4 linked regions of the Pelodiscus sinensis genome follow. The protein of the gene in region 2 interacts with the protein of the main gene of each other region in a pairwise test. Links are inferred from orthologs where the notes say so. Each region holds a gene or a part of one and is shown on either strand. Other genes may lie near its edges.

The links.
Region 1: the proteins of CCND3 (region 2) and CRABP2 interact in binary tests that used the Homo sapiens proteins (3 or more experiments, as listed by UniProt). The link is inferred for Pelodiscus sinensis from reciprocal best matches to the Homo sapiens genes CCND3 and CRABP2.
Region 3: the proteins of CCND3 (region 2) and ATF5 interact in a two-hybrid assay, tested with the Homo sapiens proteins (2 studies listed by BioGRID and IntAct). The link is inferred for Pelodiscus sinensis from reciprocal best matches to the Homo sapiens genes CCND3 and ATF5.
Region 4: the proteins of CCND3 (region 2) and EIF3K interact in a two-hybrid assay, tested with the Homo sapiens proteins (2 studies listed by BioGRID and IntAct). The link is inferred for Pelodiscus sinensis from reciprocal best matches to the Homo sapiens genes CCND3 and EIF3K.

What each region holds. Positions count from the first base shown.
Region 1 is NC_134734.1:17,810,104-17,817,167, reverse strand, and holds the start of CRABP2 (cellular retinoic acid-binding protein 2), read left to right. Parts: upstream 1-4,056; 5' UTR 4,057-4,255; coding exon 4,256-4,325; intron 4,326-7,064. UniProt on the Homo sapiens protein: Transports retinoic acid to the nucleus. Regulates the access of retinoic acid to the nuclear retinoic acid receptors.
Region 2 is NC_134737.1:9,469,786-9,477,662, forward strand, and holds the start of CCND3 (G1/S-specific cyclin-D3), read left to right. Parts: upstream 1-4,863; 5' UTR 4,864-5,084; coding exon 5,085-5,282; intron 5,283-7,398; coding exon 7,399-7,614; intron 7,615-7,877. UniProt on the Homo sapiens protein: Regulatory component of the cyclin D3-CDK4 (DC) complex that phosphorylates and inhibits members of the retinoblastoma (RB) protein family including RB1 and regulates the cell-cycle during G(1)/S transition.
Region 3 is NC_134743.1:2,614,093-2,621,376, forward strand, and holds ATF5 (cyclic AMP-dependent transcription factor ATF-5), read left to right. Parts: upstream 1-4,275; 5' UTR 4,276-4,433; intron 4,434-5,281; 5' UTR 5,282-5,406; coding exon 5,407-5,572; intron 5,573-6,002; coding exon 6,003-6,709; 3' UTR 6,710-7,204; downstream 7,205-7,284.
Region 4 is NW_027465946.1:1,753-9,616, forward strand, and holds the start of EIF3K (eukaryotic translation initiation factor 3 subunit K), read left to right. Parts: upstream 1-4,850; 5' UTR 4,851-4,868; coding exon 4,869-5,008; intron 5,009-5,891; coding exon 5,892-5,990; intron 5,991-7,565; coding exon 7,566-7,686; intron 7,687-7,864. UniProt on the Homo sapiens protein: Component of the eukaryotic translation initiation factor 3 (eIF-3) complex, which is required for several steps in the initiation of protein synthesis.

The sequences.
Region 1 (7,064 bases), on a different chromosome or scaffold from region 2:
AAAAGCCAATGCCAGCACTGGCGTTGTTCACATTCAGAAGCCCTGCTGCTTCAAGGATGACTTTTCTAAGGGGCTCTGCTAATGAGATACAGCCGGGGCAGGCAAGGAAGCTGTATTTTATAGTGTGGTGGCAGCCAGCTCAGGGCCCCTTCGTGCTGGGAGCTGCGCAGACTCAAACCCAAACGAGTTTGCAGCCTCTTGGTCCCCTTTCCCAGGTGGGAATACTGAGGCCGAGGGAAGTGACTTGCCAGAGGGGCACAGAGGAAATCAGCAACAGTGCTAGAAACAGGAGGGGGATCTCCAGAGGCACCAGGCCAGGATCTCTCCCACATGCCCACCCCTCCACCTCGTTACATTGGCTTGGATGGAAAAACTTGATAACTCTGCCCTGTAGAAAAGCAAACCAGGAGGGACTTTTCCCTCGAGAGATGGAGGGTGTGGGTCTGGGTTGGGGGGTGGGGTAGTCCCCTGTCTTACTCCAAATCCAAGAGAGCGATTTTTTCTTTCTCTCAAGATATGCTCCCCTCCCCCATCCCCTCACTTTGTAATCTTGACACTGTCCCTTTAAGAATCCCCCAACCCGTTCTCCCACAGGCAGGCCCCCAGCTCCTTGGCTTCCAGCCTGCCCTAGGACTATTCTGTTCACCGCCACTAGGAGGCGCTATTGCTTCACTAGAGATCACAACAGCTCCCCCTCCCCCCTTTCCCCACCTGGTCTGGAGGAAAAACTCCTCTCAGGGTCTGTCTACATTGCACAGGGCCCTGGCTCCGGTTTGACCTGAAGCCCTGTTTCGGTCCACACACAAATCAGGCTGAGTCTGGTCAGCGAGCACACAGGGGACCCTGCTAGCAGGGGAGGGTGAGAGCCGGAGTCCCCTGGCAGCCCTGTCCTTTTGCAGAGCAGAGTTGCAGTGCGGACGGACACTCGCCCACAGGGTTGGAGACACGGAGCCGACAGGCCCGGCGCCGTCAGTGCTGGGTTCGCAGTGCCGTGTAGCTGCTCCCTGTGGGCATGTCTACACAGCAGCGTTCTTTCGGAATAACCGATGTTATTCTGAAGGGCGCGTCTACACAGCAAGCCGCTTCTTTCAAAATAAATTCGAAAGAACGGGTGTCTTACTCCGACTCCTGTAAACCTCAGTGTGCGAGGCGGAAGGGGAGTCAGAGGTGGGATGGGGAAGAGGGCTCTATTTCGAAATGAGTGCTGTGTAGATGTGCCCAAATTCGAAATAAGCTATTTCGACTTAAGCGACACAATTAGCATAGCTCAAGTGCGTAGCTTATTTCGAGTTTAGCCCTGCTGTGTACACGTGCCCTTAGTCTTCTCTGCTTTGCTCGCAGTCTGGCTCCCAGGGGCTCCTGCCAGCAGGTGTCACGGGGATGCGGTCAGGAGAGGTGTTTAAGAGATGCTGCCACCGATGCTGACTGTATGGATAGGGGGTGGGAATGGCCATAGTCCAATGCAGCAAGGACTGCTTTACAGAAGTCCCTCGGGGCTTCAGCTGAAATCAGGAAGACCCCACTGCAGTGCTTGGATGGCCAATCAGGAGAGATTCCTGTGCCGTCCAGCTGATTAGCAGAGCACTGACTGCCGGCAGCATGTGGTTCTACTGGTGGTGCACATCTGCACATGCTTTGGTGCACAAAACAAAATGTATTCTGCACACGAGTGGAAAAAATTAGAGGGAACATTGTCCCCACCGTGTTAGGTACTGTACATACTGGCAGCAGAGATCCAGATCAGCCCTGAAGATCTACAGTCCCTAGAGACAGAAGATTATTGTCCCATTTACAGCTGGGGAGCAGCACGAGAATCTAAGTGACTTGCCCAAGTCACCCACGATGGCTGTGGTAGAGAACATAAGAACAGCCAGACTGGGTCAGACCAAAGGTCCATCCAGCCCAGTCTCCTGTCTGCCAACAGTGGCCAATACCAGATACCCCCGAGGGAGGGAACACAACAGGTAATCCTCACGTGATCCCTCTCCTGTCACCCATTTACAGACAAACAGGCTAGGGACACCATCCTGGCTACTAGCCATTGATGGACCTACCTCCATGAATCTATGTAGCTCTTTTTTGAACACTATTAAAGTCCTAGTCTTCACCACATCCTCTGGCAAGGAGTTCCACAGGTTGACTGTGCGCTGAGTGAAGAAAAACTTCCTTTTATTTGTTTTAAACCTGCCACCTATTAATTTAATTTGGTGACCCCTAGTTCTTATATTCACTGTTTCCACACCTGTCATGATTTTCTAGACCTCTATCCTATCCCCCCCTTAGACTCTTCTTTTCTAAGCTGAAAAGTCCTAGGCTTTTTATTGAACGCTTAGTCTGCTGAGTGCCAGGTAAGGGCCTGCCCACAAAGCTGCCCTACCTCTGTCAGAAGAAGCGGAATGCTGGCTCCATTGAAGTCAATAATAAAACGTTGAAGGGGTTCACTGGCAAGAGATGGTTTTGCCCCTAGAGTTGCCGTGTGCTGGTATGTAGCAGCTGGATGGGGGTAGAACTGGGGTATTAGTTGTGATGGGCCTGAACCCAAACCCCAGATCCTCATGTCATGGCTTTTTAAATCCAACCCAGGTTTTGCAGGTGGCCTGTATCGTTTTAAGCATCAGAGCCAAAAAACCTGGGACCCAACCCCCCTGGGACTCTGGGGAGTTTTGGAATGTGGATCTGGACTTCCAGACCTGGCTCCAGCTTCCATATTGATTTTTGCAGCACCTTGTCTGGGGGCTGTGTATGTGTGGGGAGATTTGGCTTGGATCCTAATACTCCCACAGATCTGGGGCAGGCTGGGGGTATGGCTTGGTCAGAACCTCTCTGGGTTCAGACCCTTGCAACTATCAGCCAATTGGATTCAGGAGCTGAGCAGAGTCAGAGAGTTAAGAAGGAAAGTCTTGTTGCTGGGAGTCACAAACAATGGGTTCGATTCACAGCTCTGCTACTGATCTTTGGAGTGGCCTTGGGCATGTCCTTTCCAGTCCCCTCCTTCTTGCCTCAGTTTCCTTACCAATACAATGATTCTTTGTTCAGCCCTTGGATGAGAAGTGCTATATAGGAACTACGAGGAACCCTGTGGCACCGTAAAAGCTAACAGATTTATTTGGGCGTAAGCTTTCTTGGGCAAAAACTCACTTCGTCAGGAGGGTTGTTCCCCACCAGAGGTGATGCCCTAATAAATCTGTCAGTCTTTGAGGTACCATGGAGCTCCTTGTTGTTTTTGCAGATACAGACTAACACGGTGACCAGCATTCCCTAAAAGCAGGGCACTTCTATGGCCGCTCAGGAAAAATTCCAGTGCTGCCCAGCTGATTAGCAGAGCGCCCATCACTGGGTGTTTTTCTAACAGTGGTGCACATTGACACATGCCTCGGTGCACATAACAAAATTTATTCTGCACACGGATGGAAAAGATTAAACGGAACATTGACGGTGGCACCTTTGCTATAGGAATGAGGTACTGATATTATCCCATCTCATCCTGCCCTCCTGGTCTGTCCTGATTGTTTCCTACAGGCCAGATTCTGCTGTCAGTTAAATTGACCTAAATCTGGAATAGCTCCCAATGCGAGTGGAGTGACTCCGGATTGACACCGCCAAACACACGAACACATTCCTTTTGCCCTGTTGCCAGAGGAGTCATTGTCCCAGTCAGAGTGGTGGCGTCACGCCCGCATTTCCACGGATTTCAATCCAGACTATCTCCTTCAGCGGTCATGGAATTGTTCCTGGGTGGGGGAGCTCTGTGACCGATGGAATCTGGCCCCAGAAAGGAGATGGGGGCGGGATGGGAGCACATGCCCCAGGCCTGGGGTGAAAATGGAGACACAGTCCTGACTGCTGGGTGGCTGGGAAGGCAGAGACTTTGCAAACCAGGCAGCTGGGCTGCTGTTTAAGACACCCACACTGGTTTTTCTCCTCTGGGTGGGGGGTGGGGGATCAGTCGCTACCCTCCCCCCCCCCCAGGCAGGTGAGACTGGAGACACACTTCTCCCCTCCCCGAGGCCAGGGGGAGGGACTAGCCAGGGAGCTGACACATAAAGGGAGAAAGCGCTGGAGAGCAGAGGGAGCAGGGCCAGTCACTCAGCAGAGGGAGCGCAGGGCATGCGGGTTGGGAAGCCGGGCGAACCAGCCAGAGGGAAGGGGCGTGAGGCTCGGGGGGAGCGAAGGCGCCAGGGGCTAGTAAGTGACTCGCCAGGGCTAGGAGCCGCGTGGTGCCTTTCTCGGCTGCTCTGCCTCCTTCCCCTCCGAGATGCCCAACTTCTCCGGCAACTGGAAGATGAAGCACTCGGAGAATTTCGAGGAGCTGCTGAAAGTTTTGGGTGAGTCGGGGGCGCTTTGTTCCCCCCCCCCCCCATCCCTCCTGGCCTGGGGAGCGCCAGCTCGAGCCGGGGGGAGGTTGAGAAATAGCCGATGACTCAGTGTGGGACAAGCCAGCTGCTTAAAACGACCCCGGCGTCGGCATCATCGGGGGAGGTTTGCCTCCTGAGTCATCCCACGGCTGTCTCCTTGGGCGCCCTGAAACTGACCCGCCGGGGCCGCCTTCTCCGCTTCCGAGCGCCGGCCTGAATCCGGAGTCACTCCGCTGCCGGCTGAGCTCGGTAGAATGCCTCCGGGCTGAGGCGGGTGCGCCTCAGATCGGGAGTACCTCTGTTGGGTTGCCACCAGCCGTTCCGCCCCTTTGTGAAATTGCTCCGGATTGACCCTAATTGGGGTAAATCCACTGCCTATACCTGCAGCCTCTGGATTTACAGGGGGAGGGGGGAAACTGAGGCCAGCAATCCAGCCCTGAGATCGTACAGAGTGTGGTTTACTTCCCCGGGATTTTTCCACTCCCGGGATGGTGTCAATCTGGAATTACTTTAGGGGAGCGGCTCTGAATTTACTGGGGAAGGGGGGAAGCAAAGGAGTTCAGGATCTGGCCCGTGGTGGTGCAGAAGGCGCCTGTTGTTGGGTTATGCTGAGCCTGATTCTCCCTACCCACTGGTGTGGATCAGGAGGGGCCCCTGAAAACCCACTGGTGGATGAGTGGAGGAATTGGCTGCAGTAGCCAGTGAAGGGGGGACCAAGCTGCCTGATGGGAGCAGGGAATTTTCCCCCTTTTTGCTTCACCCCCTTTTCCCTGGTTCTGTCCTTTTGCTTCCCTTGCCAGTGCCCTTCCCTGCCCGACCAAGCCCCCGCTCCTGTCTGATCTACAAGGCAGTGGATCCTTGCTGACAAGCAGCAGGAGATGGCTAGGTTAGGACTGACCCTGGATGTGGTAGCTATGATCCGCTTTGCAGATCCTCCCGTTGGGATGCAGAGCAGAGCCCCTGGTAGTTGAATCGGGATTCTCCCACATGGGAGGCAGAGCCTGGAGGTTCCCTCTGGCCGTTTGCTGCCAGGCCTGGGCATAGGATGCCCCAGGAGTGCAGCCTCAGCTCTGATCCTGTCTGCCCGGTGCATCCCGCCAGGGCTGTGGTGGGAGGGATCTGGGACTTTCCAACTAGCCCCACATATCTTCAGAGGCAGGGATTAAAAAGCTGAGTGGGGTGACGTGTGCGGGAGCGAAGCACACACAAGGGAGAGAGGCAGGATGGGCTCTGTGAGGAGCTCAGCCTGTGCTTTGGGAGCTGTGGCTCTGTGCCTCAGTTTCCCCATCAAACAACACAACTCCCTGGAGGAGGGTGTGAGGCAAAAGGAGTTGGTTCTTCAATTCTACAGGGTGGGGTGGGGTAAAAATAGCCTGTGAAGCCACAGGGAAGGAGGGGGTGGTCATGTGGCCCGGTCTGGATCCAGCATTCAGGGGTCTGCTGGGGTCTGGAATGGCTCTTTAGCCCCCTTGTCATCTCTGTGAAGATTCAGTTGCTCTGCCCCAAGCCCCTCTAAAGTCTGGGGGCTCCATGGGAATGGGAGGGGGGAAGTGGGCTGCCCCCATCACACGCCCCTGGCCCCCATAGACAATACTCTCCCTTGCTTGTTGGGTGTTCCAGACTCAGTCTTGAAGCTCAGAAGGGACCACCATGATCCTGTGGTCTGACCTGCACATCACTGGCCACCGAACCTCCCCACCCGCCCAGGGAGTGGGGGAGGGTTGCTGGGACTGTGTGTGTGTGTGTGTGTGTGATCGGGGACACCCTGCCACATGCGGCAGGCAGGTAGGCAGAGCATCTGCAACAAACAAGCAGGAGCCAGCGTGAAAACCCCTTTCGATAATGATCTATAATCCTCCTCCAAACACACCCACACCAAAAAAGGGCTCCCTAATCCATTACAGACGTGGTGAGACCGGCTTGAATTACTGACAATGCTCAGCCCTTCTCCTCCACGGGTCTCCCCCTGCCTGACAACAGCACCGGAGTAGGGTTATCCTTATTTTACAGATGGGGAAACCGAGGCCCAGATGGTGGGGTGGGGGCAGCAGCTCGCCTAACGGCCACGCTGCTCGTCAGAAACCACGGCAGGAAGAAAACGTAGTCCTCCCGCCGCCCGCTCTATGTCCTTTCCCAGAGCCAGGAGAAGAACTTAGGAATCTGGTACCCACCTCTCTGTTCAGATTGCTGCTCCATGCTGCTTCCCACACCACCAGGGCTTAGTCTGTGCCAGGACTGAGTCCCTGGCCCCTCTGAGCCTGGAGGTTCAGAGCCCCCGGGCCCTCTGCGCTTGGCGGCGTGTGTCCCCCGTCGATTGCATCCCTCCTTCCCTGCCCATCAGGCCGAGCACTGCTTGGCCCTGCCACCCGCTGGGGTATTTACGGACTGGCTGTAGCTCTTGGCTTGATGCAATTTGGGAGCCAGCGTGTGCCCTGCTGAGCTGCTGCAGGTCTTGCTGGGACTAACCTCAGAGCAACCAGCGGGAGCCTCCCCCTGTGGTGTTCTGTCCTGCCCTGGCCCTGGCGCAGTATGGGGCAAAGGGGGGGGGGGTGCAAAGGGAGGAGGGGGCTTGTCCTCTCTCCCTCCTGGCTTTTTCTTGCAAACAAGATGGAAGACACAACGATGTGCACTGCTGCTGGGCGCTGGGGGCTGGATTTCAGGGGGGATACCTCATTTGCCCCCCCATCCTGAGCTGTGCATTTGGGGGTG
Region 2 (7,877 bases):
ATTTTGGGTATTTCCTACAGTAAATTGTATAGTTATTTGCTCATTCATGTGGGTTTGGTTTTCGGGACCTTCATGTATGTTGATCAGTTTCACTCTGACATCATTGACAATGTTTTAGTCATGGTCTGACAGAGAAGGAAGAAGATTGTCTAGCCCTGGACAGTTCAAAGTTGAATGAAGAGTGGCTGCAAAAGACCAAGCCAGAAGTATGGAAGATGAACCCCCTCGTATCTGAACATCATGGTGGTGTAAATCAGTGTAGCTCCATCAAAGTCAATGGCACTATGTTGATTAACAGTCTGGCCAAACAGGATCTGTTTATTTAATGAACAGCCTGACATATTTCTCAGCTTTCTTCCTAATGTTGGTCTGGATATCAGCTTGATATCAGCTGCTAATAACCCACAGACTCTCTGGCCCTATAGCTTCAGTGCCCCTTTAAATGCTCCTAGTGCTGGTGACTGTTCGTTCATCATCTACATACCAAAAAAATGATCCTCCTGGTGATTCAACAAAGGAAAACATTGCTGGCTTGAGATCTTGGAAGTCTAGAAACCCTCTTTTTTTCTTTCTCTCTGAAGGAATTTCCTTTTTTTTTTTTCATTTCTGAGTTCTCTACCATTGAGGGCAGGAAGTTGTCTATCCATGATCAACAGTGACCAAATTTTGGTTTTCCGGGAATGTTCTTCCTTCCCGCTACACAAACTCCTGAGGTCTGTAATTTGCCTTTTTAGTCTGATAATGTGGCTGGCAGATGCATCAATTTTGCCAAGTCATCTTCTGGAAGGAACACTTTCTCTCTTATGCAATAGCCTTCATTTCCCCACCCTCCTGACTGCATTGACTCCAGCTTCAACATATTTCTAACAATCAGGCTGAGTTAGACTCACCCATGGGACAATAAGCAAACATGTGTGAGCCCATTATGTCTGGTATATGTCCTGAAGCTTTCAATTTCAAATGACATTGTCCAGAAAATGTAGGGACCAAGAACCCAGCACTGTGGTTTCCCTTTGCTTGGCTAAAGAAAATAACATATTTTTACTGAAAATGTGGGATTTAAGCCCTCTTCACTTTGTATACAAAAGACGCTTCCAACAATAAATGAATAGGGGGCAGGAGGGTCACCCTGGTTTGAATCCATCTGACTGGTCTAAAGAAATTGCTTTCATGGATTCTTCAAATATTTCATGCCCATGGAAAGTGCAGTGGAGGTGGATTTTTGGAATGTTATCTCACCTACTTGTATGCAGTGTGTGGCTTGAAAGCTTTTCTCTCTCCCCACCTGGTCCAATAAAAGATATTCCACAGTCAACCTGTGGAACTCCTTGCCAGAAGATGTTGTGAAGACCAGAACTTTAACAGGGCTCAAAAAAGAACTAGATAAATTCATGGAGGTTAGGTCCATCATTACTTATTAGTCAGGATGGGTAGGAATGGTAGCCCTAGCCTCTGTTTGTCAGGGGCTGGAAATGGATGACAGGAGAGGGATCACTTGATGATTCCCTATTCTGTGCGCTCCCTCTGGGGCATCTGGCATTGGCCACTGTCAGAAGACAGGATAGTGGGCTAGAGGGATCTTTGGTCTGATCCAGTATGGCCGTTCTTATGGTATTAAGTAACCCACCTTGTTTCTCTAATATCACCTACTGAAATTCCCCTTTTTCGTTTTAGGACTGGGATGGAATCAATATAATTCCACATACACTCACTGCTTTACTCCTTTGCTACATGGCAATAAGATTTTGTTTGTGTGTTGTGTAACACGTCATGTAATCAGGAACAAGATACTATTGTAGTTATGATGTTGGGATCATTAGAAATGGCACAGATAGATAGTGCTTGGTCCCATGTTCCTTGAAGTAAATGGAATTTTCAGTGCTAGTGTGCCTCATATCAGATCTGGTATGTACACGACCTTCATGTTTCTGGAGATGCAAAATGAAGCCTCTGATCAAAAAAGAATTTTTTATTTATCTTTTTCCTTTTCAGGGTCAATGTTCCTGAACAGGACAGATAAAGACTTTTGTCTTGTTTTGCTTATGCTCAAAAATAAACACATTTTTAAAACATGTTTTTTCTTACAGTCCCTATTTTTTGCAATGATTAAACATAGATTTTTATAAGGTCAAGAAAAAGTATAGGATGCCTCAAAGTGGTAGTGAATTCATCTGGGGGGAGAGAGAATAAACTCAAAGATCTGGTTGATCATTCAATCTCTAACTTCTTTGATCCTACATTCTTTTAAGATGATTAAGATGGAATGCTATACAACCAGCTGTCTAGGCGAATGCTCCTACAATGCCTTATAGTATACTAATCTAGTACCTGCTAATACTGATCACAGATTCCATCTTAGGTACATGACACTTCATCCAACATGTCCGTAATATCTATGTATTTAATTTCTCCTGGGCATGGTGACTTACACGCCTTTTTCCCAAGCCTCCCAGCTGACCCTTGGCCACCCCAGTCTGAATCCATGGGTCAGCTACCACTCCTCAGCACACCTAATGTGATTTTAGTACAGTAATACTGTGGGATAAACTCCTGCATGTAGCTCTTTGCAAAGCAGCATGGAAGAAGCATCTTCTCTGGAGACTTTTAATCCCAGAGTGGATAAAGCACTAAAATATAGAATAAGGAGCAAATGAATGGAGTAGATGATCTTGAAAGTATTTTCCACCACTAACCTCTATGATTATATGATTAATCACCCAGCTTCCAACTATTCCTACAGTTGCCATATTACAGCATTGTGGGAGTTACCAAATTCGTATGAGCTGGCCATTTCATTCTAACTCTCTCTTTTCATATTCAGAATTTTCTCAGAGTTTGACCTTTTGGGCTGAAATTTCTCATGCTCACTCTCAATCTCAACAACGATTTTAATTTGTTTTTATTCAAAAACTTGAAGAAATTCCATTCAGCTCTTTTTCTAATTCTGTAGTTGTGAAGGGAAAATATGTTTTACGTTTAAATGATGCAGTCTGACCTTCTTTTGAGCTTGGATAACTCAAAAGCAGCTTTAAGTCTTTGCACTTGACAGGCAAATAACCTGGAAAGCAGGCTCTAATCGGTGCTAAATTTGAAAAAAAATGGTTTTAAAAGAAGTTATGAACTTGTGAAAACCATGTGCTGAGCATACGCAGTGCTTTGAGTATGCAGAGGCATGTAGTAAAAGCTGTGAAAAAATAAATCTCTCATTGCTAACACTGGTACAGCTCCAACAGTGTTAGCAACATGAGGAATGTTGCTCCTCTTGTACACAAGCCAGGTGTTTATTAGTAGTAGTATTTGTATTGCAAGAGCGTCTAGAGATCCCAACAGAGAACAAGAGATAGTCCTGCCCTAAGGAGGCTCTAGTCTAAATAGGCAAGAGCTCAGGGTAGTTTTCAAAAGTTAAGAATGTATTCTTTCAAAACCATTATTACATGCTGTTAACACCAGTGGCTGCCGAAGCCTCATCTACACACGTTTCCAATGTTGCTGTCTCCAGGGCAGCTGCATTAGTATTAGCATTAATACTCGGATAGGTTTTGGAGGAAAAAGCCCAGTGCAGACATACTTTCAACAGACTCACATCTATCTGATTATTCTCATAGCTTCTAAGGGCTAGACAAAAAAAAAGACAAAGAAAAAAGTGGCAGAATTAACTATCAAAGAGACTGAAATAATAGATTAACAGAGCAGGCAACGGATCTGAGTTCCAGATTGTCCTGTTTTGAACATGAACCCCACGAGGAATAGTCATAGTGTGCTCACGAATCTTGGTTTTGATGCCGTAACTTGGTAACATTGGTGGTTGTACTCAAGATAGATGGATAATGTAGTAAAATGCAATGAATGCTAATGAAAAATAACAAAAACAAACCCCCTCCCCTCAAGTTATTTGCTCATCTGGGTTTCTGCAGTCCAGTCTCTTGCCTTTCTTTTGGGTTTTTGGACTGTACACTCTTCGACTCAGGGCAATGTGCAGTCATGCCTCGCGTACAGCCCGGCATGTTCTCTGAGGTAGTGTGACACGGATGGATTCCATGTGATGTGCTGTCACCTTGCACCACTGCCGCATGGCGATGTTTCCAGGTGATTGATGTCTTGAGGCAGGAAGACCAGCTATCCCCATGGCTTTGTCTTATTTAGGTGCCTAGTACCTCCCCTTCCCCCATACACCCAACCTGATTTTTCACACTTGCTGTCTGGTCACTCTGTCAGTGTTTCTCAACCTTTTTTTTATAAAGTACCCTCTATTTAAAAAAAATTATAAGTATCCCCAGTACCTACAGTTTTCAGACACAACAGTTTTTTCCCCAACATTTCTTTAAACAACGTAGCTGGGCAGGCAATGAAATTTATGGGTGTAAAAAGTACCAAAATAAAGTGCCGTAAAACTTAAAACAAAAATTCAGTTTTCTCCAAATTTCAGTTGTGTTGACGTACCCCCCCAGACTTCTCTCAGGTACCCCTCAGGGTACTGGTACCACTGGTTGAGAAACACTGCTCCAAGTCTTCCCCGGGCAGCAATGGGAGAGCTTGCATCCACTGGGTGGAATGAAAAATGAGCGTCCCTTACCACCGGCTGTGCAGTAGCAGCAGTGGCAAGAAGCCATGGAACCGGAGGGGATTTCGGGGGGCATGGGGAGGGGGCCATTGCTTGCGAAAAAGAAAACCGTGGGGGGGCGGATTTCACTTGCTTTGCAATCTGGAGCGGAGGGGCGGGCGACCGGCGCCCTGCTCCGAGGCGGCAGCCGCTTAGCCCACCATGGGACCCAGGGGGCTTGCACTGCAGCTCCTCTCCCTCCCCCCTCCCTCCCGCGAGCAGGGCCCCGCCCGTAGCCCCGCCCATTAACTTCCCGACGTTCTAAAAACTGTAACAGTGGATCCGGCGCTGTCAGTGCGGCGGGGAGCGTGGGGCAGAGCGGCCGGGAGGCAGCTGGCTGGGGTCGCTGTTGCTTGATCGCCCAGCCCCGCTCCCCGGCTGGGGGTGTCCCTCTCCCTGTCGCCAGCTCCCCTGCGCGCCCCCCCTTCCGTCCCTGCTCCGGCTGTCCCCGTTCTCGTGCCCTGACCCCCCAGGATCCAGACACATGGAGCTGCTGTGCGTGGAGGGGGCCCCCCGCGTGCCCAGGGCGGAGCGCGATCCCCAGCTGCTGGGGGACCGGCGGGTGCTGCAGAACCTGCTGAGCCAGGAGGAGCGCTATAGTCCCCGGGTCTCCTACTTCCATTGCGTGCAGAAGGAGATCAAGCCGTACATGCGGAAGATGCTGGCTTTTTGGATGCTGGAGGTACGGGACCCCCTCCCTCAATCCGGGTCCTGCCACCCCCTCCCTCCCGATCCATCCTGGAGTCCAACAGCAGCTCCTTTGCCTACCCTCCTTGGTCCCCACCGCAGATACAGGCTGCCCGGCTCGGGCAGGAGAGGGGCTATGCTTGCTGGGTGTGGGAGAGAGAGACCCACCCCAGTCTTGAGTGTAAACGGAGCAAAGGATTTAGTGGGGTCGCCTAGCGGTGGCGGCGGTAATGGAAGGAGGACAGTTGGGTTGGGAGAAGTGTTTTTTGGGTTTTTTAAGGTAGGGAAGTCACTTGGTTTGGGGAATCTGTATCAGTTGGGGGGGAGCTAATGGGGGGGCGGTTTGCAATGTCACTTGCTGCCGCGTGAGTTCCAAAGGAAACAATCTGATGGAGCGGGGGAGAGGCTGCTGGTTTGTGGGGCTCGGTCTGTGGTGGGAGGAGTCAATCTTTTGGGGGGGAGGAGGCAGAGGAAATAGTGGGATACGGGGGCATTTGAAAGACCCCCCCCAGGTGAAAGACCCCGGGTGCTTGGGTGGGGGCATGATTTCCACCTTTGCATATGCGGAATTGCAGCATTTCCTGCTGCACCGAGGGGGTAACACAACCTGCTCTCCTCCACACCCTGTTTTGCCTGTAGGGGTCCCTCCGGTTTTACCCCAGCCCGGAAACTGTCCGCTTCAAGGTCTCTGCCTTTCATCGGACAGTTGGGGGGGGGGGGGGGGAGTCCAATGCGGTGTGAGAGAAAGCCTGGGCAGAAAGATCCCAGCCTCCCACGCCGCTAAATTAAAAGGAATGCAATCCTGCGCACTGAACAACTCAAGGAGGAACATATCCCAGATGTCTCTCGCTTTTCATAAATGATCAAGCCCTGAATAGCCTAGATTGGGAGGAAAATGAGATTACACGAGGAAGAAATAGAATCTGGATTGAATTCAGTCTGAGGCTCTTTCCACTTCACTGGCTGTTGTGACATACTGCCTGGGTTTTTTTTTAATCACATGCCGATTCCAACTTTTTTAATTATCCTTTTTCTTAAGTGCACTTTCTGAGAGAGTTACTTGGCTAAAAGGTGTGTTGAGGCCTGATCCTGCAAAGCAGGGACCTCAGTAAAGTGGAAGGAGCCCATAGTAAAGTTGGAGGCGGTATCTTTGGGATTTCCCAATTTAATAGGATTTGCATTAGTAAGCCTAAACGTAGGTCCTATTGAAGTCAGTGGTACAACTTGCATTGACTTCAGAGGCAGCAGGATTTAGTTCTAAATGCTAATTTTTCATTTTTTATTTTGAATGAGGGTGAGAGGGAATGCAGCTAAACTTAAATCTGAAATGAGAAGTGAGTCTATTTTTTTTAAAAGGAAAAAGTCTCTGGCATGCGGTTTTATGTGGGTAGAGAGGACATTGGGAGGCAAAGTTACAGGGTGAAAGAGAAGGATGCCAGTTGCTATAGCACAAGGGGAAAATTCAATATTTTTCTGTTAAAACAAGGAAATATGGCTGTTCATTAAAAGCCTAGTGGCATGTATAGAAGGGGTTGACCTGCAGACTCCTGGGTTCTGTTTGTGCCTCTCATGAATGTGCCATAGACAGAGAAGGGGAGCCAGGAGTTTGAATGCAGTTGCTATCCTGGGCTCTGCCAGTGACTCTTTTTGTGATATTGGGCAAGTCACTTAGCCCAGAGTTTCCAAAAGTGGCAACTGATTCTTGGTGCCTCCTTTTTTGGGCCAGCTGAAGCTACATTGGGACTGGGTTGTTTTTTTTCAGAGGTGCTGAGCACCCCCATTTAAGGAGAGCAGAAAGTGATTGGCACATCTGGTAATTAAGACCTAAATCAGTGGGCCCTCTAGAAGATTTTGGTCTCTAACCTCTCTATTTTCCCTACTTCCCAGAGGAAAGGGAGGTGAACTGTAGCACATTGCATCAAATTCCCTGCGGGTGGTGGGCTGGAGTTACACCAATGGAGAATTTGTCTCTTAAACCTAAAAGGGCTTTGAGAGCACCAGACAAAAGGCTCCACACGTGCCAGAAACTATGGCAACTAGTAGTTTTGAAGTCCCGGTGCAGGCTGGGGCTGCCTTTAAAACCCTTCCTTTCCTCTGTTGGGTTCTGCCAGGTGTGTGAGGAGCAGAAGTGTGAAGAGGAGGTCTTCCCCTTGGCTATGAACTACGTGGATCGCTACCTGTCTTCAGTTCATACTCGAAAAAATCACTTGCAGCTCCTGGGGGCCGTCTGCATGCTCCTGGCTTCCAAGTTGCGAGAGACCATGCCCCTGACTGTGGAGAAACTCTGCATTTACACAGACAATTCCATCACACCAAAGCAGATCTTGGTAACCTCCCCACTCTGCCTGATACAGTCTCTCACCCACTCCCCAGCTCTCTTATCCTCTCTGTGCTGCTGCTTGGGGGCATAACTGCTTCTGACTTCCTTCCTCTGTTCTCCCAAGCACCTTCCCCCCCATGTTCCCCAAATAGCTTCCTTGCCCAACTGGACAAACTACCTTTTGGAAAGGTAGAACTGTCCGCCACACTTAGAGCCACCCTCTTGGCCAAGGTCCCAGGCAGCCCAGCTGTTATTCCCCATTGATTGCTT
Region 3 (7,284 bases), on a different chromosome or scaffold from region 2:
GACCCCATCCTCCCTCTCCCCTCCAGGTTCTCAGCCCCCTTCTTCCCTCCCACCTACAGGTTCTCAGCCCCCATCTCCCCAGTTTGTTTTATTGAAAGAAAAATGCAAAGTTCGTTTTGTTCAAATCAAAACAAGTGTGTTTATTGAGAGTAAAGGGAAGGGGGAAAGGGAGGAGTTGTGGGAAAGGGATAGTGGAGCAAAGCACAGGCACCTAGTGGGGAGGCCCTGGGGAGAGTTACTGAGGACCTTGAGAGAAACTCTCCTTCAGGGCCTCCAGATGCACGCCCCAAACTGATGGGCTTGGCAGATGGCAGCTGTCCATGGCTGCTCACAGGCCCTCCCTTTGTAGCTAGCCCCTGCTAGCCCCTGCCCCCCACCCATGTAAGAAGGCCTCCCCATTCTTCTCCACAATATTGTGGAGGACCCAATACACCGACACCATCCAGGGGATGTTGTGCTCCCCCACGTCCAGGCAGGTCAGGAGGCACCTGAACTGCTCCTTGAGGCAGCCGAAGGTGCACTCCACCTGCATGTGGGCCCAGTTGAGATGGGAATTAAATTGGTCCCTGCTGGGGTCCAGGAGGCCGGTATATGGCTTTATCAGCCATGGCATGAGGGGGTAGGCTGCGTCGCCCATGATGTACAGTGGCATCTTCACATCCCCAAACACAGAGTCACACCGGGGGAAGAATGTGCCAGCCTCCAGCTCCCCATAGAGGCTGGAGTTTCAGAACACATGGACGTTATGCACCCTGCCCGACCACCTGACAAAAATGTCCGCGAACTGTCCACGGTGGTCGAACTGGGCCTGCAGCACCATCAAAAAGTAGCCCTTCCTGTTGATGTATTGGGGCCGCTCGATGGCCTGGTGTTCGGATTGGGATGTGGGTTCCATCTATGGCTCCAGTGTGGTTGGGGAAACTCTGGGTAGCAAATCTTGTGACGATCAGGTCTAGGTCTCCCAGGCGAATGACCCTGCGCAGCAGAATGGCGTTGATGGCCCTCACAACCTGCAGAAGGAGACAAACAAACACACAAAACAGAGAATGAGAGCGGGAGTGCCTGAGCCCTTGGGAGGTGCCCGGCCCACTCCACTCCCCTCCCCTCCCCTCCTCAAACACCCCAGGAACCACCCCCTTTGAGACCTCCCCCCCAGCAGCAGGGCTATGTGAGTGCGGGATGGCACAACCTCCTGGGGAGGGGGCTTTCCCCCCACCCCCAGCCCTCCACCCCCCCTTCTCTAGGGTCCCCCTTTCAAGGATTCCCCCCACCCCCTGCAGGGACTGCAGCCCAAGAGTGCCTTACCTCCATGAGGAGGGCCCTGACGGTGGACTTCCCCATGCCGAACTGGTTGCCCACTGATGGGTAACTGTGTGGGGTGGCAAGCTTCCAGATGGCAATGGCGACTTGGTTTTCCAGGGGGATGGTGGGCTGCAGGTGAGTGTCACATCATTGGAGGGCAGGGGCCAGCCAGGCACACAGCTCCAAAAAGGTGGTCTTCTGCATGCGGAAGTTTTGGAGCCACTGCTGGTCGTCCCACTGCTCAATGACCAGGAGGTCCCACCAGTAAGAACTGGTGTCCGGCCTCCAAAACCGTCTCTCCACTGTGGGATGCGGTTGTAAGGGTCTTGCTCCCGCACACAGGGAGAGGGTCTCAAGGATGAGCTCGGTGTCGAGCTTGTGGAGGGCCATGAAGGCAGCCTGCACAAACTGCTTCAGAAACTGCAGCATGGCCGTGTGGGGCCATCAAGTGCCCAGACGCAGCTCTGGCTCCATGGCAAAACGAAAAATGCTGTGGCGTCCAAAAAGCTGGGCAACAAGAGCACGCACTGCTAAAGCTTTGCTGTCCCTCCGAGAGGTAGGCAGGCACGAAGCAGAAAAACAGCTGTCCAGGGGGGTCCCTTTAAGCATGTCTCTCAGCTAGGCTTCGGCAACAGCACTTGGAAGCAACTGCTGACCTAATGCCCTGCCTGAACTGGTTCCTGGTGGCCTTATATTTGAAATAGCATCCAGTCAGTGTTTTATCTTTCGAAAAAGCAGATCACTTTTTTGTTGCACTTTTGCTGTGAAGATCTCTTCCGGAAAAGCTTCTTTCAAAAGAAGCTCGCAGTCTAGACATAGCATGGGGGAAGAGCCGAGAGGAGGGGTGAGTGTTCCAGCTCTCTCCTGTGCTGGCACCAGTGTCTCACAGCAATCTCTGGGCTATTTATTGGTCGATGGTAGAAGGAGCCAGGGGACAAGGGCCATGGTGCAATTCTGGTGCCAGGGGAGCTGGTCTGAGCCAGACTGGGGAGATGACAGCATGGCTAGAATTGCTCTTCTCCCCCTGGCCTCTGAATACATCTTAGTGGGGGGGACGGGGACTAAGTGCAGGTGGGTTAGTTTCGTTGGAATAATTGGGGTCAGAGTACAGAGATCTCTGCCTGCCTGGTCCCCTGGCAACAACCAGAACTGACAAACTGCTTAACCTGCTCCTGAGGTTCCTGCAGAAGGGACATAATCCGATTCACTACACTAATCGGGCTGTCAGTGTACCCAAAGCCCGGTTCCCCTTCCCATTAGTGGAGGGAGTTTCTATAGCCCCCTCTTCCTGAGGGTCACACCAAAGATAACACTATCGGCCCTTTTGGGGAGAAGAAATGCAGTGAACTGGGCTAGGCTAGTGGATTGACTGCTGTTAAATTCCAGTTTCCTAAAAGACAGAACAACACAATCCACAGGTTTGCTGCATCTGCCTCTGGCTTTGACTCTCACATCCAGTGCCCCTGCCCCAAGAACCCAGCCCAGCCTGATCAGCAACTCAGAGACCTGGCAAACTCATACCAGTGCCCAGCAGGGTAGGGCCGTGCTGGAACTGCCCCTCAGTGCAGGGCACTCAGCACTCTGCTTGGAAAGGGCAGAGATGCTCATTAAGCAGGAATGGAGTGGGAAAATGACACATGATGAGAGGAGTCTGTTGGGGTCAGGACTTTGCCAGCACCAGTGGAGATATTAGTGAGGCCCCGCTCTGTGGCCAGGTACGTGTCCTGTGGCCAGATGTGTCTCTTGAGATCAGGATGATGAAGATGCAATGGTGCCATTGTGGATGCCAGGGTTCCAGGAGATGGGGGGCAGGGACAGGCAGGATAGACAAATTCCCTCCTTACAGACACACTCCTCTACCATTTCGATCCCCTCAAAGTCTTTTTTTATGGACCCACAAGGGAGAGCAGGTGGAACCACATAGTGCCTCAGTATTTTGCCCACAAATTGGGTCTAGTATCTGACACACCCTGACACCTCTCCCCATGCTGCTGAAGTGGACTGAGAACAATTTGCACTATCCATGCCCCTGCATCCTGGGACTAACGTTATCATATCGCAGGCTCAGCTAGACTTTTGTTCCCATGGACACGAGAGAGTCCACAGACCAGAACTAGCTTCCAGGTGGGGTGGGATGTGTGAGAGTGGATCATGCAGGCAAGCCCCAAAACTATTTCTGAGCCTGGTATTTGCCTGGAGACCCAACACCCTGCTTCAGGTCACAGGCTAGTTAGTGCTACGTGCCCAGCTCACCAGCCAGTCACCCAGCCTTCATCTCACATGGGGGCTCTGCTGGTGGGTGCTTGCCCCCCAGCGCCCACCTGGCCAGGAGCACAAAGCAGGGAAGTCCATGGCAGTGCAGCAGGGCAAGGCCACTAAACTGGCTAGTATACCCTGCTCCCCACTTGGCTGGAGACTATGGCAGCATCGAACCTGATTCCTCCAGAGCCAGAAGGCAGACCATGGGTGCTGGAGTTTGATGGGTTGGAGGACCCTGGCTCCCAGCGGTGGAGCTGGATGCTACAGAGTCAGTATGGGGGACACGGGCTGCCCTGGAAAGGTGCTGGGGATACTAAAAGCTCGCGGGGGGGGGGGGGGGGGTCCTAGCACCAGACACAAACGCGGTCCCAGGTTACTCTCTGATTTCATCTGTCACAGCACCTATCACGGGGCCAGTTTTCCCGAAGCCAATCGCTACCCCGCTCGCGGCGGCTCTGCAGCCAACCAGAGGCGAGCCCAGCCCCTCCTTCTGTTCACAGCTGATGCAACTCTGCTGCAATCGATCCAGTCACCGCCCGCAAAATAGGTCCCTCGCTCCCGCCCGGAGCACGGCATGGGGTGACGGGGGGCGGAGCCGCGCATCTCCGGGGCACAGCAAGGGGGCGGGCTGGATTGGGGGTGGGGGCTGATGGGCGCACGACCCCGTTGGCGGGGCGGAGGAACACGAGGTGTGGTGCGGCCCGGGAGGGGGGAGGGAATATAGAGAGCGGCCCCTCCCTGTCCCCTTTACTCCGTCTCTCTCCGCACACACAGACACAGCACTCGAGCGTAGCGCACCATGGCTCTCTAGCACAGCCAGACGCTGACTCGCGTGCGCCGCGCCGCGCCGCCACCCACGCCGCCACCATGGAGTGAGTGCTGCGTCCCCGGGCTGCGCTCGCTGACCCCGCCATGCCGGGGCCTCCCTATGCGGGGGACCCCTGGGGGGACGAGGCGCGCACAGGCATCGCGGGGGGACCTCGACCGGGGTGGGGCGCGCAGGGACCCCGACACGGGGATGGCGTGCAGGCGCCGCCGCGGTTGGCGCGTAGGGGCCCCTTGCGGGGGGGAGCGGCATGCACCAGCTGCCGCGGTGGGCGCGCAGGAACCCCCCTGCGGGGCGGAGTGACATGCATCAGCTGCCGCGGTGGGCGCGCAGGAACCCCCCTGCGGGGCGGAGTGACATGCATCAGCTGCCGCGGTGGGCGCGCAGGAACCCCTCTGCGGGGCGGAGTGACATGCATCAGCTGCCGCGGTGGGCGCGCAGGAACCCCCTTGCAGGGGGGAGTGGCATACAAGGACCCCTTGCAGGGAGAGGAGGAGACGTTCTGCACCAGCCGCTGCGGTCACGCAGGGACCCTAGCAAGCGGATGGCGTGCAGTCACACAGCCCCCGGGGTGGGACCTCGGCGGGAAGGCACACTGTTGCATGGCTAATTCCCTTATGGCCTCTGAGCTCTTCCCCTAGTTGGGGCGGCGCTGCCGGGATCACGTTGCAGCCCTGAAGGCGCATCTCCATGATCTCCTGAGCCGCGAGTAAAGAGGGCCAGGCGGGTCTTAGTCCTGCTGGCAGCTCGGGGCCTGTGTGAAGCCATGTGGTTTGAGTGGAGGGAAGAGGCACAGGGTTGTCCCCTCATTGAGTGGTGCTGTACCAGATGGGTGAAGGAATGGACCTCTCCCCCTTGCCTGCAGCCCTGCTCATCTTCTCTTCTCTCTTACAGGTCTTCCTGCTCTGCCCCCATCTCACCTGCCACCCTTGCCAGCAGGAACTGTGCTCCCCACCTGCCATACTCTGGCCCCTTTTCCCATCGGGCTGTGGCCTGCCTGAGCCCACACCTGCCCCACCATGTCAATGCTGGCAGCTTTGACCCTGGACATGGAGAAGACCCTGCTCCCAGCTAGCACCCTCTCCTGGAGGGCCGAGTTCCTTAAGATCCCCGGCCACTATGAGCCCCTGGCAGGGGCCACGGATGGGCACTATGCCCATGGCACAGAGGCAATGGTGTTGGCAGGTACAGTTCTGGCAGGAGAGGGAATACTGGGGGGGGGGAGGGGGGAGAACAGATGGGGGGGATACCTGGTTGGGCTGCTTACAGGAAGTATTTTGACTGCCTCAGAAGGGCATCAGAACCCTCCCCCTTATGCCAGGCTGGGAGACCCCTGCCTTCCCTGGTGATTATGATGGGGTTGCTGAAGGGTTAGGATGTTTGCTCAGAGGGCACTGGGCTCCCAGCCAAGGCCAGGTCAGAGAAGGCAAGTTGTAAATAAAGCTACTTTAGGCCATGTCTTAAAGGGCTTGGCTGGGCCACATACCTGCCTTGCAGTCCTTCCTTCTCCAGCCCAGCTGCAGGTGGATCTCCTGGAGTGGGGGGAGGGCTCTGCACTGCTCTTTTCCTGTCACGGCTCCCCCATGCAGCCTGTGAACCTGCTCTCTCCACACAGGCGATGGCTTCTCAGACTGGATGACGGAGAGGGTGGACTTCTCCTCTCTCCTGATGGAGTCGGGGGACCCATCGCTGCCCTCACCCCCACTGCCTGACCTGGAGGCCATGGCTTCCCTCCTGAAGAAGGAGCTGGAGCAGATGGAAGACTACTTTCTAGAGGAGTCACTGTCCCCAGGTCTGGGCCTGGACCAGGTGGCCCCCAGCACACCACCTTCACACCAACCTGCATTCCACTTCCCTTTTGGAGATGGTAGTGGGCCAGCAGGGTCCTTCCCACCCTTTGGCTCTGACAGCCCCACACCACTGCAGACCCTCGATTCAGGCTGCCTTGAGCTCCTCAACCTGTATGGTACTGGGGTGCCTAGTGGGGAGTGCCCTGGCCAGGGCCGGCTGGAGGAGTATATTGGTAGCCCACCAGCTGCCAAGCGCAGCAGGCCAAACCCCTTGGAGCAGTCAGCAGTCCTGCCCCAGCAAAAGGGGGACCGTAAGCAAAAGAAGCGGGATCAGAACAAGACAGCAGCACTACGGTACCGGCAGCGGAAGCGGGCTGAGTATGAGGCACTAGATGATGAGTGCCAGGGTTTGGAGGCCAGGAATCGTGAGCTTAAAGAGAAGGCAGACTCTATTGAGCGTGAGATCCAGTATGTCAAAGACCTGCTCATTGAGGTCTACAAGGCCAGGAGCCAGAGGCTCCGTGCTAGCTAGCTTGAGCAGGGAGAGGGCCACCTAGTCTAGACTCCACCCCAGATCCAGAGTAGGGCACTGGGTCTGAGGGGGAGGGACTCTGACAGATGTGGATCTTAAGATCTGGGCTCCAGACTCAGCACAACACCCCCTAATGCAGTAGAAGCAGGGTACTGGGGACAATGAGCTAGACAATGCTCTGAGTGGGTCAGAGAAGCAGTGGCTGGGCAGAGGAAAGGTTGTGACAGGAGAGGGAGACCAGGGTGCTAGGTGATGTTCTGGAGAATGGACATGCCTCTAGGGAGGGATGTTGGGGAAGGGGACAAGAGTGGAACAAAGGCAGGAGAAGGGTGTAGCTATGGCACAGCAGGGGTGTGTAAAAGGTAGTGGGGAGGTGCTGGGTGAAGTGAAAGTGCATGTGGGACAGAGGCAGAGCCATATAAACTTTTTTATAGATGTGTCCTGTAGCTTCCTTTATAATGCATAAAAGCAAATAAAGGCTAATTCCTACATTCAGGCTGCGCAATGTGTTTTCTGGTACACCTTCTTTCCCCTGAGTTAGGTCTCCAATTGCACTCACCTCTCAGGGCCATAGA
Region 4 (7,864 bases), on a different chromosome or scaffold from region 2:
TTTGGCTGGGGAGTGTTGGGGGGGGTCAGGGCCTGGCGGAGGGGTGTCAGGGGGGTCAGGGCCTGGCGGGAGGGTGTCGGGGGGGGCTCAGGGCCTGGCTGGGGGGGGTGTCGGGGGGTCAGGGCCTGGCTGGGGGGTGTCAGGGGGGGTCAGGGCCTGGCGGGAGGGTGTCGGGGGGGGGCCCAGGGCCTGGCTGGGGGATGTCGGGGGGGGTCAGGGTTTGGCGGGGGTGTCGGGGGGGGCTCAGGGCCTGGCGGGGGGGTGTCGGGGGGGTCAGGGCCTGGCTCGGGGGGTGTTGGGGGGGTCAGGGATTGGCGGGGGTGTCGGGGGGGCTCAGGGCCTGGCTCGGGGGGTGTCGGGGGGGTCAGGGTTTGGTGGGGGGTGTCGGGGGGGTCAGGGCCTGGCTGGGGGGTGTCGGGGGGGTCAGGGTTTGGCTGAGGGGGTGTCGGGGGGGTCAGGGTTTGGCGGGGGGTGTCGGGGGGGGTCAGGGCCTGGCTGGGGGGGTGTCGGGGGGGTCAGGGCCTGGCTGGGGCGTGTCGGGGGGGGTCAGGGCCTGGCTGAGGGGGTGTCGGGGGGGGTCAGGGTTTGGCGGGGGGTGTCGGGGGGGCTCAGGGCCTGGCTGGGGGGTGTCGGGGGGGGTCAGGGCCTGGCTGGGGGGGTGTCGGGGGGGGTCAGGGTCTGGCTGAGGGAGTGTCGGGGGGTCAGGGTTTGGCGGGAGTGTCGGGGGGGCTCAGGGCCTGGTTGGGGGGCGTCGGGGGGGTCAGGGTCTGGCTGACGGGGTGTCGGGGGGCTCAGGGCCTGGCTGGGGGGGTTGTCGGGGGGGTCAGGGCCTGGCTGAGGGGGTGTCGGGGGGGAGGTCAGGGCCTGGCTGGGGGAGGTGTCGGGGGGGGGGCTCAGGGCCTGGCGGGGGGGTGTCGGGGGGGGTTCAGGGCCTGGCTGGGGGGGTGTCGGGGGGGGCTCAGGGCCTGGCGGGGGGTGTCGGGGGGGTCAGGGTTTGGCAGGGGGTGTCGGGGGGGGTCAGGGCCTGGCTGAGGGGGTGTCGGGGGGGTCAGGGTTTGGCAGGGGGTGTCGGGGGGGGTCAGGGCCTGGCTGAGGGGGTGTCGGGGGGGGTCAGGGCCTGGCTGAGGGGGTGTCGGGGGGGTCAGGGCCTGGCGGGGGTGTCGGGGGGGGCTCAGGGCCTGGCTGGGGGGGTGTCGGGGGGGCTCAGGGCCTGGCTGGGGGGGTGTTGGGGGGGTCAGGGTTTGGCTGGGGGATGTCGGGGGGGGGGCTCAGGGCCTGCCTGGGGCATTGTCGGGGGGATCAGGGCCTGGCTAGGGCATTGTCGGGGGGGGGGGTCAGGGTTTGGCTGGGGAGTGTTGGGGGGGGTCAGGGCCTGGCGGAGGGGTGTCGGGGGGGTCAGGGCCTGGCTGGGGGGTGTCGGGGGGGGTCAGGGCCTGGCGGGAGGGTGTCGGGGGGGGCTCAGGGCCTGGCTGGGGGATGTCGGGGGGGGGTCAGGGTTTGGCGGGGGGTGTCGGGGGGGCTCAGGGCCTGGCGGGGGGTGTCGGGGGGGTCAGGGCCTGGCTCGGGGGGTGTTGGGGGGGTCAGGGTTTGGAGGGGGCGTCGGGGGGGCTCAGGGCCTGGCTCTGGGGTGTCGGGGGGGTCAGGGCCTGGCTGGGGGGTGTCGGGGGGGGTTAGGGTTTGGCTGAGGGGGTGTCGGGGGGGGTCAGGGTTTGGCGGGGGGTGTCGGGGGGGGTCAGGGCCTGGCTGGGGGGGTGTCGGGGGGTCAGGGCCTGGCTGGGGGCGTGTCGGGGGGGGTCAGGGTCTGGCTGAGGGGGTGTCGGGGGGGGTCAGGGTTTGGCGGGGGCTGTCGGGGGGGCTCAGGGCCTGGCTGGGGGGTGTCGGGGGGGTCAGGGTCTGGCTGAGGGAGTGTCGGGGGGGTCAGGGTTTGGCGGGGGTGTCGGGGGGGCTCAGGGCCTGGCTGGGGGGCGTCGGGGGGGTCAGGGTCTGGCTGAGGGGTGTCGGGGGCTCAGGGCCTGGCTGGGGGGTGTCGGGGGGGGTCAGGGCCTGGCTGGGGGGGTGTCGGGGGGGGGTCAGGGCCTGGCTGGGGGAGGTGTTGGGGGGGGGCTCAGGGCCTGGCTGGGGGGGTGTCGGGGGGGTTCAGGGCCTGGCTGGGGGGGTCTCGGGGGGGGGCTCAGGGCCTGGCGGGGGTGTGTCGGGGGGGTCAGGGTTTGGCGGGGGGTGTCGGGGGGGTCAGGGCCTGGCTGAGGGGGTGTCGGGGGGCTCAGGGCCTGGCTGGGGGGTGTCGGGGGGGGTCAGGGCCTGGCTGGGGGGGGTGTCGGGGGGGGCTCAGGGCCTGGCTGAGGGGTGTCGGGGGGGTCAGGGCCTGGCTGAGGGGTTGTCGGGGGGGTCAGGGCCTGGCTGGGGGGGTGTCGGGGGGGGCTCAGGGCCTGGCTGAGGGGTGTCGGGGGGGGTCAGGGCCTGGCTCGGAGGGTGTCGGGGGGGGGGTCAGGGCCTGGCTGGGGGGGTGTCGGGGGGGGGCTCAGGGTCTGGCTGGGGGGGTGTCGGGGGGGGGCTCAGGGCCTGGCTGGGGGGTGTCGGGGGGGGGCTCAGGGCCTGGCTGAGGGGTGTCGGGGGGGGGCTCAGGGTCTGGCTGGGGGGGTGTCGGGGGGGTCAGGGCCTGGCTGAGGGGGTGTCGGGGGGGGCTCAGGGCCTGGCTGGGGGGGTGTCGGGGGGGGTCAGGGCCTGGCTGGGGGGGTGTCGGGGGGGGGGCTCAGGGTCTGGCTGGGGGGGGTGTCGGGGGGTCAGGGTCTGGCTGGGGGGGTGTCGGGGGGGGCTCAGGGCCTGGCTGAGGGGGTGTCGGGGGGGGGTCAGGGCCTGGCTGAGGGGGTGTCGGGGGGCTCAGGGCCTGGCTGGGGGGGTGTCGGGGGGGGGGTCAGGGCCTGGCTGAGGGGTGTCGGGGGGGTCAGGGCCTGGCTGGGGGGTGTCGGGGGGGGCTCAGGGCCTGGCTGAGGGGGTGTCGGGGGGGGGTCAGGCCTGGCTGAGGGGGGTGTCGGGGGGCTCAGGGCCTGGCTGGGGGGGTGTCGGGGGGGGGTCAGGGCCTGGCTGAGGGGGTGTCGGGGGGCTCAGGGCCTGGCTGGGGGGGTGTCGGGGGGGGTCAGGGCCTGGCTGGGGGGGTGTCGGGGGGGTCAGGGCCTGGCTGAGGGGGTGTCGGGGGGCTCAGGGCCTGGCTGGGGGGGTGTCGGGGGGGGGTCAGGGCCTGGCTGAGGGGGTGTCGGGGGGCTCAGGGCCTGGCTGGGGGGGTGTCGGGGGGGGGGTCAGGGCCTGGCTGAGGGGGTGTCGGGGGGCTCAGGGCCTGGCTGGGGGGGTGTCGGGGGGGGTCAGGGCCTGGCTGGAGGGGTGTCGGGGGGGGGGTCAGGGCCTGGCTGGGGGGGTGTCGGGGGCTCAGGGCCTGGCTGGGGGGGTGTCGGGGGGGCCAGGGCCTGGCTGGGGGGTGTCGGGGGGGCCAGGGCCTGGCTGGGGGGGTGTCGGGGGGGTCAGGGCCTGGCTGAGGGGGTGTCGGGGGGGGTCAGGGCCTGGCTGGGGGGGTGTCGGGGGGGGGGGTCAGGGCCTGGCTGAGGGGGTGTCGGGGGGCTCAGGGCCTGGCTGGGGGGGTGTCGGGGGGGGGTCAGGGCCTGGCTGGGGGGGTGTCGGGGGGGGTCAGGGCCTGGCTGGGGGGGTGTCGGGGGGGTCAGGGCCTGGCTGAGGGGTGTCGGGGGGCTCAGGGCCTGGCTGGGGGGGTGTCGGGGGGGTCAGGGCCTGGCTGGGGGGGTGTCGGGGGGGGGGTCAGGGCCTGGCTGAGGGGGTGTCGGGGGGCTCAGGGCCTGGCTGGGGGGGTGTCGGGGGGGGGGTCAGGGCCTGGCTGAGGGGGTGTCGGGGGGCTCAGGGCCTGGCTGAGGGGGTGTCGGGGGGCTCAGGGCCTGGCTGGGGGGGTGTCGGGGGGGGGTCAGGGCCTGGCTCGGGGGGTGTCGGGGGGGCTCAGGGCCTGGCTGGAGGGGTGTCGGGGGGGGGGGTCAGGGCCTGGCAGGGGGGGGTGTCGGGGGGGGTCAGGGCGTGGCTGGGGGGGTGTCGGGGGGGGCTCAGGGCCTGGCTGAGGGGGTGTCGGGGGGGGTCAGGGCCTGGCTGGGGGGGTGTCGGGGGAGGGGGCTCAGGGCCTGGCTGGGGGGGTGTCGGGGGGGGGCTCAGGGTCTGGCTGGGGGGGTGTCGGGGGGGGGGTCAGGGCCTGGCTGGGGGGCTGTCGGGGGGGGGCTCAGGGTCTGGCTGGGGGGGCGTCGGGGGGGTCAGGGCCTGGCTGAGGGGGTGTCGGGGGGGGCCTCAGGGCCTGGCTCGGGGGGTGTCGGGGGGGGGCTCAGGGTCTGGCTGGGGGGGCGTCGGGGGGGTCAGGGCCTGGCTGAGGGGGTGTCGGGGGGGGCTCAGGGCCTGGCTCGGGGGGTGTCTGGGGGGCTCAGGGCCTGGCTGGGGGGGTGTCGGGGGGTCAGGGTCTGGCTGGGGGGGTGTCGGGGGGGTCAGGGCCTGGCTGGGGGGGTGTCGGGGGGGGGGTCAGGGCCTGGCTGGGGGGGTGTCGGGGGGGTCAGGGTCTGGCTGGGGGGTGTCGGGGGGGGGGTCAGGGCCTGGCTGAGGGGGTGTCGGGGGGGGGGTCAGGGCCTGGCTGGGGGGGTGTCGGGGGGGGCTCAGGGCCTGGCTCGGGGGGTGTCGGGGGGGCTCAGGGCCTGGCGGGGGGCAGGGCTGTGGGCGGGGTTTGGGAGAGGGGCGTGTCCCCGCGCGGGCATGGGGGCGTGGCCAGGGAATATAGGGCGGGGCCAGGCGCGGATCCGGGCGCGTGGCCGGCTTTGGCGCGCACCCTCTCTCCCATCATGCCTCGGGAAGGCCCGCGCCGGAAGCGGAAGTCGACGGCGTCCCGCCCCCCCGTGCCGCTGGCCCCGCCCCCCCGCACCATGGCGCTGTTCGAGCAGATGCGGGCGAACGTGGGGAAGCTGCTGAAGGGAATCGACCGGTGAGGGGGGGCGGGGCCGGGGGCAGAGACCGGCCGGGGGGGGGGGGGGCTGGAGGCAGGGGCAGGCCGGGGGGGGAGGCAGGGGCAGGCCGGGGGGGGGGGCTGGAGGCAGGGGCAGGCCGGGGGGGGGGGCCAGAGACCGGCCGGGTGGGGGGGCTGGAGGCAGGGCCAGGGCGGGGCCGGGGGGGGCTGGAGGCAGGGCCAGGCTGGGGCCCTGGGGTGGGGGGCCAGGCCCGGGGGGGGGGCCAGAGGCAGGGCCAGGCTGGGGCCCTGGGGTGGGGGGCCAGGCCCGGGGGGGGGGGCCAGGGGCAGGGCCAGGCTGGGGCCCTGGGGTGGGGGGCCAGGGGCCGGGCCAGGCTGGGGGGGGCCGGGGCCCTGGGGTGGGGGCCAGGCCCGGGGGGGGGGGCCAGGGGCAGGACCAGGCTGGGGGGGGCGGGGCCCTGGGGTGGGGGGCCAGGCCCGGGGGGGGGGGCCAGGGGCAGGGCCAGGCCCGGGGGGGGGGGCCAGGGGCAGGGCCAGGCTGGGGGGGGGCGGGGCCCTGGGGTGGGGGGCCAGGCCCGGGGGGGGGGCCAGGGGCAGGGCCAGGCTGGGGGGGGCGGGGCCCTGGGGTGGGGGGCCAGGCCCGGGGGGGGGGGCCAGGGGCAGGGCCAGGCTGGGGGGGGCGGGGCCCTGGGGTGGGGGGCCAGGCCCGGGGGGGGGGGCCAGGGGCAGGGCCAGGCTGGGGGGGGGGCCGGGGCCCGGGGGGGGGGGCCAGGGGCAGGGCCAGGCTGGGGGGGGCGGGGCCCTGGGGTGGGGGGCCAGGCCCGGGGGGGGGGCCAGGGGCAGGGCCAGGCTGGGGGGGGGCGGGGCCGGGCTCGCCGCTGAGGGTCTCTCCCCGCTGCAGGTACAACCCCGAGAACCTGGCCACGCTGGAGCGCTACGTGGAGACTCAGGCCAAGGAAAGTGCCTACGACCTGGAGGCCAACCTGGCCGTGCTCAAGCTGTGAGTGGGCGCCGGGCGCGGCCTGAGGGGGGCTGGGCGCGGTGTGTGGGTCAGTGGGGGGGCAGGGCCTATGGGGTGCTGGGCGCGGTGTGCATGGTGCTAACCCAGGGTCTGGTGGGTGCCGGGTGCAGTGTGTGGGTCGGCAGGGGGGCAGGGCCTGAGGGGTGCCGGGCACGGTGTGCATGGTGCTAACCCAGGGTCTGGTGGGTGCCGGGTGTGGTGTGTGGGTCGGCAGGGGGGCAGGGCCTATGGGGTGCTGGGCGCGGTGTGCATGGTGCTAACCCAGGGTCTGGTGGGTGCCAGGTGTGGTGTGTGGGTCGGCAGGGGGGCAGGGCCTATGGGGTGCTGGGCGCGGTGTGCATGGTGCTAACCCAGGGTCTGGTGGGTGCCGGGTGTGGTGTGTGGGTCGGCGGGGGGGCAGGGCCTATGGGGTGCTGGGCGCGGTGTGCATGGTGCTAACCCAGGGTCTGGTGGGTGCCGGGTGCAGTGTGTGGGTCGGCAGGGGCGCAGGGCCTGAGGGGTGCCGGGCGCGGTGTGCATGGTGCTAACGCAGGGTCTGGTGGGTGCCGGGTGTGGTGTGTGGGTCGGCGGGGGGGCAGGGCCTATGGGGTGCTGGGCGCGGTTTGCATGGTGCTAACCCAGGGTCTGGTGGGTGCCAGGTGTGGTGTGTGGGTCGGCAGGGGGGCAGGGCCTGAGGGGTGCCGGGCGCGGTGTGCATGGTGCTAACCCAGGGTCTGGTGGGTGCCGGGTGTGGTGTGTGGGTCGGCGGGGGGGCAGGGCCTATGGGGTGCTGGGCGCGGTGTGCATGGTGCTAACCCAGGGTCTGGTGGGTGCCAGGTGTGGTGTGTGGGTCGGCAGGGGGGCAGGGCCTATGGGGTGCTGGGCGCGGTGTGCATGGTGCTAACCCAGGGTCTGGTGGGTGCCAGGTGTGGTGTGTGGGTCGGCAGGGGGGCAGGGCCTATGGGGTGCCGGGCGCGGTGTGCATGGTGCTAACCCAGGGTCTGGTGGGTGCCGGGTGTGGTGTGTGGGTCGGCGGGGGGGGCAGGGCCTGAGGGGTGCCGGGCGCGGTGTGCATGGTGCTAACCCAGGGTCTGGTGGGTGCCGGGTGTGGTGTGTGGGTCGGCAGGGGGGCAGGGCCTATGGGGTGCCGGGCGCGGTGTGCATGGTGCTAACCCAGGGTCTGGTGGGTGCCGGGTGTGGTGTGTGGGTCGGCGGGGGGGGCAGGGCCTGAGGGGTGCCGGGCGCGGTGTGCATGGTGCTAACCCAGGGTCTGGTGGGTGCCGGGTGTGGTGTGTGGGTCGGCGGGGGGCAAGGCCTATGGGGTGCTGGGCGCAGTGTGCATGGTGCTAACCCAGGGTCTGGTGGGTGCCGGGTGTGGTGTGTGGGTCGGCGGGGGGCAGGGCCTATGGGGTGCTGGGTGCGGTGTGCATGGTGCTAACCCAGGGTCTGGTGGGTGCCGGGTGTGGTGTGTGGGTCGGCGGGGGGCAGGGCCTATGGGGTGCTGGGCGCGGTGTGCATGGTGCTAACCCAGGGTCTGGTGGGTGCCGGCTGCCAACTCTCCATGCTCTGCGCCAGGTACCAGTTCAACCCTGCTTTCTTCCAAACCGCCGTCACGGCTCAGATCCTGCTCAAAGCGCTGACCAACCTCCCTCACACAGACTTCACCCTCTGCAAGTGCATGATCGACCAGGCTCACGTATCCTTCTGGCACGCCCCTCTCGCGCCCAGCGGCCTGTCCAGCTGTCCTCCGGGCTCTCGGCAGTGATGGGGTGCACGCCCAGCAGCCCCCCGTTCCCCCAGGGCGCCGCCCCACCGACAATCCTGAGCCAGCAGTGGCGTCCGGTGGTGTGCCCAGGGAGCTCCTTGGGCTGGCC